Sus scrofa: one gene and its partners. The protein of the gene in region 1 interacts with the protein of each later gene in a pairwise test. Links are inferred from orthologs where the notes say so. Each region holds a gene or a part of one and is shown in the gene's direction. Other genes may lie near its edges. The genes, in order: HOMEZ, SMYD1 and RNF8.

Region 1 (3,324 bases):
GGGGCTCATCTGTCTCCCTCCAATTTCTGAGGAGCTACAGCTTGTGTGGACCCAAGCAGCCCAGACCAGTGAGCTGGATGGCAATGAACACTTGCTACAAACCTTCAGCTACTTTCCCTATCCCAGTTTAGCAGACATTGCCCTTCTCTGCCTACGCTATGGGCTGCAGATGGAGAAAGTCAAGACTTGGTTCATGGCCCAGCGCCTCCGCTGTGGCATTAGCTGGTCATCCGAAGAAATAGAAGAGACTCGAGCCCGTGTGGTCTACCATCGGGACCAACTCCACTTCAAATCCCTTCTCTCTTTCACTCATCATGCAGGGCGGCCCCCAGAGGAGGTGCCTCCTTCTCCGATGCCACCTCCAGAACAAGTGGGTCTTGGAATAGTGCCCCTGACTCTTAGCGAGCCCACCCAGAAGAAAGGATTGAAGGTAGAGCCTGAGGAGTCCTCAGAGCCACTGAGTCACCAGAAAGCAAAAGAGCCCCTGTTGGTACCTGGCACTGGGACATTCCCCCACCAATCAAACTTTTGGCAGGATCTTCAGAGCAGTGGCTTCTCTAAAGGGCAGGCAGGCAGGGATCCCGACCAGTCCCACGGCCTAGGTACTGCTTCCTGGAACCACTCCACAGCTGTCCACCAGCCCCGAGCTCGGGATAAGCCCCCGCCCATCTCATTACTTGCCAGTAGTTGCAAGAAGGAGTCCGCATCTAATGTGACTCCTCCTTCCTCTACCTCTTCTTCCTCTTTCCAGGTACTGGCTAATGGAGCTACTGCCACCTCTAAACCCCTCCAGCCACTGGGCTGTATCCCACAGCCACCATCACCCAAGGAACAGGCACTACCCCCACATCTGGAGCCAGCCTGGCCCCAGGGGCTAAGGCATAACTCAGCACCAGGGAGGGTTGGCCCTGCAGAGTACCTTTCCCCAGATATGCAGCGCCAGCGAAAGACCAAGCGCAAAACCAAAGAGCAGCTGGCTATCCTCAAATCATTTTTCCTACAGTGCCAGTGGGCACGGCGTGAGGATTACCATAAATTAGAGCAGATCACTGGTTTACCTCGGCCTGAGATTATTCAGTGGTTTGGTGACACACGCTATGCCTTGAAGCATGGGCAACTAAAATGGTTTCGGGACAACGCAGTACCTGGGGCCCCTAGCTTCCAGGATCCAGCAATTCCCACACCACCACCTTCAACCCGCTCCTTGAATGATTGGGCTGAGACACCACCTCTGCCGAATCCCCCACCCCCACCGGATATACGACCCCTGGAGAGGTACTGGTCAACCCACCAACAGCTACGGCAGAGCGATATCCCTCAACTGAGTCAGGCATCAAGGCTGAGCACCCAGCAGGTATTGGATTGGTTTGACTCTCGATTACCTGAGCCAGCTGAAGTGGTGGTTTGTCTAGATGAAGAGGAGGAAGAGGAGGAGGAAGAACTGCCAGAAGACTGTGAGGATGAAGAGGAGGAGGAAGAAGACGATGATGATGATGACGATGATGTGATCATCCAGGACTGAGTGGGGGGCGAGGGGAGGTCTGTTACTAAAAGATGAACCAACTTAGTAACTGTTTAAACAAAGAAACCACATTTTTTTATAATTACCTTGTGGCAAAGAACTGAAAAGCTTTGTGTTCTTGAGGGTCGGGACTGGGGGATGTAGTGAGGGAAACCAGGAAGGATGACCAAGGCACAAAGTGAGGTGGGGATTGGATGGGCAGGAATCCAGGCCTGCAGCCTCAATGAAGAGAGTGCCAAGGGTCTGGTCCAAATGATGGGGCCGGAAAAGGCTCTTGCTCTCCTCTCAGATCTGCCATACTTTTCCCTACTGTACTACAGAGAGGCCAGGCTTTGGCCCATGTCTATGGGGGAAGGCAAAGGAGGAGTAAAGAATTTTGATTCACTGATGATTCCAGTACATCCCCCAGTCCCACCATTTTCCCTGGAACATAAAGCTGCCTTGCACCCCTTCTTTTCTCTCCAAGCACAGGTCCTTGCATAATGCAGCTAAGAATCTCATGTCCCCATCAGTCACAAATATTTCCTCTCCCTCATATCAGCTTGACTTTATATGTTTTCCTGCTGCTTTTATCGAGTCACACAGGGAGCAGAATGTTTTCATTTCTGATGCTGGGACCACTATGCCTTGTACCTTTTTATCTTTCCAGAATCCCCATTCTGTTTATTATTTGTCTCAGGGTAAATCTTCCCCCCAGAGCTTGTGAAAAAGTTTAATAATTGGGTGGAGAATAATTTAGACTGGATATTTATTGGAGGTGGGATTTAGGCGAGATGTCCTTTTAAAAATGAATTAGATTACAGAGGGATAAGAGGAGAGGGAATGGTTTCTACTGTTTGGAAGGACGGTGAAGGTAGGTACCAGGTTTGGTTTTACAAACCTGACACTCCCTCCTGCCTAGCTTGACAGAGACTGATTTTTTATCTTTTTCATGTTAGTTTAATTTGTGTCCAGAGAAGAGACTTTTCCCTCTCTTGATAGGATCTGTCTTGGGGACAGAGGGACCATGGTCTTTAACTGAATTAATTGATGTTTTAGAATGGTTTTCATCAGATGGGGTCACCTATAACAATATCAGTGGGTTAACCATCTGGAAATAAAAGGTTGGAAGCCCCCAATTACTAGAATAATAATAAAAAGGCCAAAAATAAAATTGTTTCTCTCTCCTCCACTTTGCTACTTTAATCGTTTAGAGATTAATGGAGCCAAATCCATTAACTTTCTGATTTAGTATACTTTTTATTTATTTATCTTTTAAGCATCAGGATATATTGAGTTAAAGTAAAAGAACAAAAATTTTAAAAGACAGTAGATCAGTATCTATTACTAGGCAGACTGTTTCCTGCACTTGCTACAGCAGAGCCTCTTGCTCAGAAGAGGGGGAGTCTAGAAATGCCTTTAAAAATCCAATTCAGGAGCTCCCATCGTGGCTCAGTGGTTAACGAATCCGACTAGGAACCATGAGGTTGCAGGTTCGATCCCTGGCGTTGCTCAATAGGTTAAGGATCCGGTGTTGCCATGAGCTGTGGTGTAGGTTGCAGATGCAGCTTGCATCCCGTGTTGCTGTGGCTCTGGCATAGGCCGGCAGCTACAGCTTCAATTGGACCCCTAGCCTAGGAACCTCCATATGCTGAGGAAGTGGCCCAAGAAATGACAAAAAGACAAAAAAGAAAAAAAAAATCCAGTTTCAGAAAGGGTAGTGGGGTCCTATTCAGCTATAACGTCATTACCAAGACCTCATTTATTTCTGGCAGATGCTCTCTTTAACACTTTACCAATGTTTTCGCCTAAGGTATGCCTGC
Region 2 (3,752 bases), on another chromosome or scaffold:
TACTTCCTTGGTGCCTATTACTTCATTTACCAGTGAAACTATCCCCCTTGTTTTGTAACTAGGATATCAAAGTTGTCCCTGTAGGCTCAAAATTTAAATGCAGATTTAGCTGACACAGAAGCCAGCACTTACAAGCTACTGCACTCACAGAAATCCAGAGCACAGAAATCTGTAAATAGATGCATCCCAGAAACTAAAAATATTACCTGAAAGGTAAGCCACAGCTCCAGATCTGCAAGAGTCTTTCTTTTCAACCTCAGTGAGAGCTGCCTGGCCTTCAAGACAAGTGGCTTTTAGTTCAAGGGAGATTTTGCAATAATCCATCCAATATCCAATTACTATTTTTCTGGCAACAAACACATGTTTAAGGGAGATTTGATAGCCTGAGAGACAGGAGAGTGTTCATTGTCAAGGCCTGCCTGCTCTCATAATATAGCTTTCATCTAGCACATACGTGTTATCAGGGAATTCTCAGTCCTCCAGGCCCTGGATGGAGGTGCTGTGGGAGGCCCAGGTTATACTGGGGAAGAGGGATGCCCATTAGAACCTAAACGTACTGTTATGCACATAGCCCAGAGGCCACTTTTGCATCTGCTGCTTTCTGCAAACAGTCCACCCATGTGGATTTGCTCTGGTGCCTGGGGCGGGGGCGGGCGGGGGGGGGGGAACAAGGGGCCCGTCTCACTTGAGAAAGTCCAAGCCTGACAGCTGAAGGGTCCCAGAACAGTAAGCATCACCTCGCCTCTTCTCTTGGACCACTTCAGCTGTCTGCTTTGGATTGACACAGGCATCTGGCTGCTAAAAATACCCGACTGACCAAGTGCCGCCTATTCCAACTCAAGCTGAGCATGACTGCCATCCAGGACTTAACTACCCTTGCAAAAGAACTTTTCAAAAGTTTTCAGACCCAATATGAGAAGCACACCAACCCATAATCATTTTCTATGTTGTCGGTTACATTGGGCGGTGCGAGGGACCCTTCCCAGATCACTGGCCTCTGGCTTGCCCCATCCCTGTCTCCAAGAATAGAGGCAGAGGGGGAGGTGGGGACCCAGTGGCTGAGAGGGGGTAGGGAAGGGGAGGTGCTTGTCCATTTATAGGCTTGCTCTTTGGGATGCTGAAGGTGCTGAAATAGCAGCGAGGACAAGGGACTTGGCTCAGTGTTAAATATCTGCCGAGCTGCCCTAAGATTCTGAGATGACAATAGAGAGAATGGAGAATGTGGAGGTCATTACTTCTGAGGGCAAAGGCAGAGGTCTGAAGGCCACCAAGGAGTTCTGGGCTGCTGATGTCATCTTCGCTGAGCGGGCTTACTCTGCCGTGGTTTTTGACAGGTACAGAATGTGGGTGGTTGCCCTCTTTTCTCCTGTTGGTTTGGCTGTTGCCACATTCTCAAATATTTTGCTCTCAAAATCATCAGAGCAAGGGATAAAATCCATGGGGCCATTGATAAGGAATGGCATTCCAACAGCTAACTGTTTTCTTGTGTAACTTTTCCTGCAAAGAGTCACTGCCAGTGGGATTTGCTCTGGTGCCTGGGGTGGGGTTGCAAAGGTGATCAAAGGCTTGGGGGCAAGTGCTCAGAGCACTGGTGAACTTGGCTGAGTGGGAGTGCTGTGTGTGGTGAGGTTGGAGAGAAAGGGAGAGGTGGGTGTGGTGCCTTGAAATCTTTTCCAGAGGGCTCCATGTTTTTTAGCTTCTGAGATAAAATAAACATATTAGAGAAGTAAGTGAGTCCTGGGATTTTAAAAACATGTAAATATGCAAGTACTCCTGGAGTCCATTTGCTTTTGAAAATAGGAGTATCACCCATGAACGGGAATCCTCTTTTACCTTTCCCACCCAGAAACCCAGTCCCCTCTGTCTTTCCTCAGAGGTAATCCTTCTTGTGATTTTAATGATTCTTTCTAGAATATTCTTGTTCTATTGCATCTATCTGTCTATATCTGTACTTACCAAATATATAGCTGTAATTTGTCTTTTTTTAACAGAAATGTTATCATACTTCAGACATCATTCTGAAACATACTGTTTTCACTAAGCATGTTTTGATACTTATCCATGTGGAAACTGTAAGTTTATAGACACTTCTTTTAAATCGTCAAAGATCTGTTTTTTCCTCCCACGTGTAGATCTATCCATGTTGATCCATACGCTCTATGGATCACAAATTTTAACTTCTGTAGATATTCTTCCCTGTAAATATATGGTCTTTAAGAAATCTGTTGCCCTATTGAGAAACATTTGGTGGTCTCCATTTTTTTTCATAAAAACAAATATTTCTGCAGTTAAAATCCTCGATCATGTCCACTTGTACTCATGCGTGATAATTCTCTAGGATGAATGGCTAAAAGAGGAATCACTCTGCCATAGGGTGTACTTTTTTCCATTTTAATAGGATCTCCTTAGTGGGTCTGTTAAATTTACATTCTCATTTCCTCACAATCCTGTCCATCCTTGACCCAAACTTTCAAATTAGTACTAAATCTCTATTTTTCTTTTTTTTTTTTTTAGAAAAAACCTTATACTGTGATGAAATTATAACAGTATTCTCAAAAGTTGGGGTGGCCTGCCTGACATTGATGTAGTCTCAATAAAGATGGCCTCTGATCTTGGCTTCGTGACCATCCTGAGAATGGGCAAAGGTTTTCAGAGATAATTTGAGCAGCATTTGAATTCTCATTTCTTCCTACCTATGAAGACCTTCAGGGAGAAGGCAGCTGATACCAGCTGAGGAATATAAAGCAGCTGAGAGGACAGTAATACCTCTTGGGGGAGTGGGTCTTACCTTATTTATTTATTTATTTTCATCTTTTTAGGGCTGCACCCATGGCATATGGAAGTTCCCAGACCAGGGGTCCAATCGGAGCTGCAGCTGCCAGCCTATAGCCACAGCCACAGCAACGCCAGATCAGAGCAGCATCTGCGAATCTACAGTGCAGCTCACAGCAATGCTGGATCCTTAACCCACTGAGCAGGGCCAGGGATTGACCCTGCATCCTCATGAATCTTAGTCAGATTTTTTTTTTTTTTTTTTTTTTACCACTGAGACGCAATGGGAACTCTGGGTCTTACTTTGTTAATGTAATTGTGTGTGTGTGTATGTGTGTGTGTGTGCGTGTGTCTGTTGGGGGTGGATGAGGAGTTAGTGGCATCCAAAATTAAGACATAAAAAGCTGGAAACACAGGGTAGTTCCCATTGTGGCTCAGTAGTAAGGAACCTGCCTAATGCCATGAGGATTCGGGTTCTATCTCTGGCCTCACTCAGTGGGTAAAGGATCCGGTGTTGCTGTGAACTGTGGTGTAAGTTGCAGATGTGGCTCGGGTCTGGTGTTGTTGTGGCTGTGGTGTAGCCTGGCAGCTGCAGCTCCGATTTGACCCCTGGTCTGGGAACTTCCATGTGCCACATGGCCCTAAAAAGGAAAAGGAAAAAAAAATCTAGAAACACAGGAACCCTGAATAATCTTGGTGCTGCCACTGAGTTGCCACCTTGCCTTTTAAAGAACCTCCATGGGTTTCTGCAATTCCCTAAAAGCCAATATGGCCAATCAGTTTCTCCTTCACGACGGTTTGGAGTTGAGTGGGTTTTCCCTTCATTATAAAAGTCAAATTTAGGAAGAAAAAAAGGTATCTTCACACCAAGATAACTCAACCTTGTTGATTGTCTCCTGCTTATTTTACAACACAGGGTTCATTTGTTTGTACTACAGGCTTGTATATTATTATATATAAACTACCATTTTTTTAATGGC
Region 3 (3,652 bases), about 43 Mb from region 1:
GGGAAATGATCAGGTTTAGTTTTTACATTACACCCCAGCTACTGTGTGAAGAATGGAGGCTAGCACAGGAGTAGAAATAGTGCTACTGGAGGAAGAAGTGTTGTTTGGATTAAGCTAGGAGCCACTGAGAGAGAGAGGGAGAGGGAAGGAGAGAGAGAAGTGAATAGATTTAGGACATATTTGAACTACAGCCAGTAGATTTTGCTGATGATTTGAATGTGGGCATGAGGGACAGAGAGCAAATCAAAGATGGCTCCTGGGTTTTGGGCTAAGCAGTAGGTTGGATGGTGGTGTCAGTTGCTGGGATGAGAGTTTATGGGGAGGAATAGATTGGAGCAGCGAGTCGTTCATGGTGGTCTTTAAGAGACTAAGGAGGACAGGCATGATTCTGAAAGATTTTCAAGAGGAACAAAAAGGGCAGCTTTTAGAAAACTACAGACATTTGGCTTAGTGTTCCCAGGTAAGGTCTGGATATGGGTCATTGAAGAGGGGCTTGTGCAGCAAGAAGAATAAGCAGGGCATTCTGCAAGCTGGATCCCGGAAGAATTTCATTTCCTTCCTTGACAGGGTTGTCATGAACTAGATTGGTCGGTCAGCAAAGTATGATGCATGTGAATTGGGTCGTCTTTGCAACCTTTTCCAAAGGCTCTCATGATGTTCTTGTGGGTAAGATGGAAAATACAGACTTTTCCATCTTTTGATTGGATTATAACTGGTTGAAAGTATACCCAGATTGTGTGTTAGAATGTTGGTTTTTTTGTGTGTGTATTTTTAGGGTTGCACCTGTGGCATATGGAAGTTCCCAGGCTAGGGTGTCAAATCTGAGCTGTAGCTGCTGGCCTACACCTCAGCCACAGCAAAGTGGGATCCAAGCTGCATCTGCAACCTACACCATGGCCATGCCGAATCCTTTAACCCACTGAGCAAGGCCAAGGGTCGAACTTGCATCCTCATGGATGCTAGTTGGGTTCAGTATCACTGAGCCACCATGGGAACTCCCTTAATTGTTGAATTTTTTTGTGTGTATTTTTAGGGTAGAATATTTGCTAGGCTTTCCTAAGAGCTTTGCCTTTGGCTACAACCTGTTTTAATCTTCTTAATCTGTGTCCTGAATGAAGGTACAGAAGGCATCATATCAATTTGGTGGGTGACTTAAAGCCAGAATGGATATTGAGTGTGTCTGATAGCAGATTAAAAATTCAGAAAGGTCTTGACAAGCTAATGATAGGCTAAACTAACAAGATGACATTTAATAGGAATCAATGTAAGGTCCTGCACTTGAATCCACATTTGCCAGTTAGTCTAGGACAGAAAAGACATGACTTAGCATAGGAATTCTTTGGAGGGTTAGTCCAAGAAATTTAATCATTCCTAAGCCTAAGGGTATGCTGGCAGTGTGATAGATCTACTGTGAAAGCTAATGTTATTTATATTCTCCACTGATAACATCTAGAACTGGGAAAGTGATACTTGTATTCGACTATATAATAAAAAATCAAGTTTGTTTTTCTTGATATGACATCTAGGAATAACACCAAAAATCTCTTCACAGACCTATTAAAATGGCAAGAAGACTCAAACCTATGACATGGAGTTATGTCGAAGTAATAGGAACATAGGGCCAAGAAAAGGGAAGATTCCACAGATGCACTATAGCTCTCATGTGAAGGGGAACTGGAGATTTTCTGGTTGTGGCCAGGGCAGAGCTTGGGCCAGTGGATGGAAATTATAGGGAGAAAGATTCCAAGTCAGAGCCATTAAAAAGTTGGCGGGACTGTCTTGTATCATAGCTATAGTTCTTGGCCGTGTAGAAAACTAGTTAATGGGGTGTGTAGAGAGAATTCCTCCATCCCATGAGTGGTTGATGCAGGTGACCTTTCAGAGTCCTACCAACCCTGACACCCCATGATTAACTCCGTTCAGCTGTCTCTTGTCACAGCTTTTTGCCTTTTTCTTTCTTTCTTTTTTTAAACAAGTGGCCGCACCTGCAGCATATGGAAGTTCCTAAGCCGGGATCGAGCCACAGCCACTGTAGAAGCAACACTGAGCCACACGGGAAGTCCATTTTTTGCCTTTTTCTATCCACTGGCTTCTATGGCAGCTGAAGGAGATAGCCAGTGAGCTGCTTGCCTTTCTGCTCTGGTTTCCTAAGTCAAGACTTGTGGACACTGCTGGTTGACAAGATTGTAATGACCTCCCTCTTCAGCACAATGGCTGATTGTGTCTACGTTGTTGTTGTCTTCTTAGGTGACTGTAGGTCGAGGATTTGGTGTCACATACCAGTTGGTTTCAAAAATTTGCCCTCTGATGATTTCCCGAAACCACTGTGTCTTGAAGCAGAATGCCGAGGGCCAGTGGACAATTACGGACAACAAGGTAACTGCAGAAGACTAATAATGTTTATTGAATTTTTGTTTATTTTTAAGTTCCTTTATTTTTTGCAGTGGTAGAGAACTAAAAGACTCAAAAATATATCTTCTCCCCTAGCTACTGACTTGTCTTTCCCAGAAATGACTGCTTCTCTGTGCTGCCAGAGATTAGATTATGCCAAAAGAAGTTCTAATGACTTGAAGTTAGTTACTTTGAAGGGAACACCTGAATTGGGGCAGTAGGTCCTGTTCCAAAAAGTAGACTAAGTTACCAGGGGACTTGGTCTCTTGTGAGTTGAAGGTCCAAAGACCTTGGGAATCTGACAGAGATTTTGGAGTGCTCCTGTGGAGGAGGGAGGAACTGAGCTGATTTCACTCGGGTCCTCTTACTGCTCCTTTTCTTTTTTTTTCTTTTCTTTTTTTTTTTTCTCCGCTTAAAACAAATTTGAAAACCACAGGTTTAGTGTGAATACTAAGGCAGGTGAAATAGTGTATAGAGCTGAGCAATTAGGAAGACCCTAAAGTACAGATATACAATCACCTGGGAATGCAGTGAAAATAGACACTGTGAAATGAGAGAAATTCCAATATAAACAATTAAGGATTAGGAAGTGTGAAATGTCTTCAGACACCATTTTGCACTACTCTGGTTGGAAGGCATATAAAGATACCTATTAGAAGGAAGTGTATGAAGATGGTTCTGAGATCAGTTCCAATGGATGTTGGGAGGGGGGAGATCTCCCCTCCACATACCACAAGCAGTGCATACACCAGCTGGATGTCTTGCAATTCAACTCAATCCTCTTCTGTCTACCCGGAGATAGCATCAGATTCCACAGGTAGAGGGCTCCATCCCACAAAACCACTCTCCTCTCAGGTGCCATTCACAAGCCCAGGTTAACATCTGTGCTTCTGACACGTGAACCTATTATAGGTTGGAGGTTCCAAGGACCCCATCCTAGATCTCCAGGAGCCATTTGCAGGTCCAGATTGTTACCTGTACTTCTGACTGACTGGCTGTAAATCAGAGGTTCCCATGGCCACCTCCCTTTTTGGATTCAGTTAATTAGTTAGTTATTCGCAGCCAGGAACACATTTATTTACATTTACCAGTTAATTATAAAAGGAAATGGTGAGGTGAGGGATACAGGTGAACATCCAGATAGAAGTGATACATAGGACAAGGTATGTGCGCAGGGATATGGAGCCTCCATGCCCTGTCCAAATGTGCCATCCTCCCAGTACCTCCATGTGCTCACCAACCAGGAAGCTCTCCAAACCCC

What was found.
Region 2: the proteins of HOMEZ (region 1) and SMYD1 interact in binary tests that used the Homo sapiens proteins (3 or more experiments, as listed by UniProt). The link is inferred for Sus scrofa from reciprocal best matches to the Homo sapiens genes HOMEZ and SMYD1.
Region 3: the proteins of HOMEZ (region 1) and RNF8 interact in binary tests that used the Homo sapiens proteins (3 or more experiments, as listed by UniProt). The two-hybrid records come from large-scale screens. The link is inferred for Sus scrofa from reciprocal best matches to the Homo sapiens genes HOMEZ and RNF8.

Annotation. Positions count from the first base shown.
Region 1 is NC_010449.5:75,795,340-75,798,663, forward strand, and holds the end of HOMEZ (homeobox and leucine zipper protein Homez), read left to right. Parts: coding exon 1-1,522; 3' UTR 1,523-2,688; downstream 2,689-3,324. UniProt on the Homo sapiens protein: May function as a transcriptional regulator.
Region 2 is NC_010445.4:57,915,928-57,919,679, reverse strand, and holds the start of SMYD1 (histone-lysine N-methyltransferase SMYD1), read left to right. Parts: upstream 1-1,103; 5' UTR 1,104-1,197; coding exon 1,198-1,334; intron 1,335-3,752. UniProt on the Homo sapiens protein: Methylates histone H3 at 'Lys-4' (H3K4me), seems able to perform both mono-, di-, and trimethylation. Acts as a transcriptional repressor. Essential for cardiomyocyte differentiation and cardiac morphogenesis.
Region 3 is NC_010449.5:32,938,295-32,941,946, forward strand, and holds part of RNF8 (E3 ubiquitin-protein ligase RNF8), read left to right. Parts: intron 1-2,247; coding exon 2,248-2,376; intron 2,377-3,652. UniProt on the Homo sapiens protein: E3 ubiquitin-protein ligase that plays a key role in DNA damage signaling via 2 distinct roles: by mediating the 'Lys-63'-linked ubiquitination of histones H2A and H2AX and promoting the recruitment of DNA repair proteins at double-strand breaks (DSBs) sites, and by catalyzing 'Lys-48'-linked ubiquitination to remove target proteins from DNA damage sites.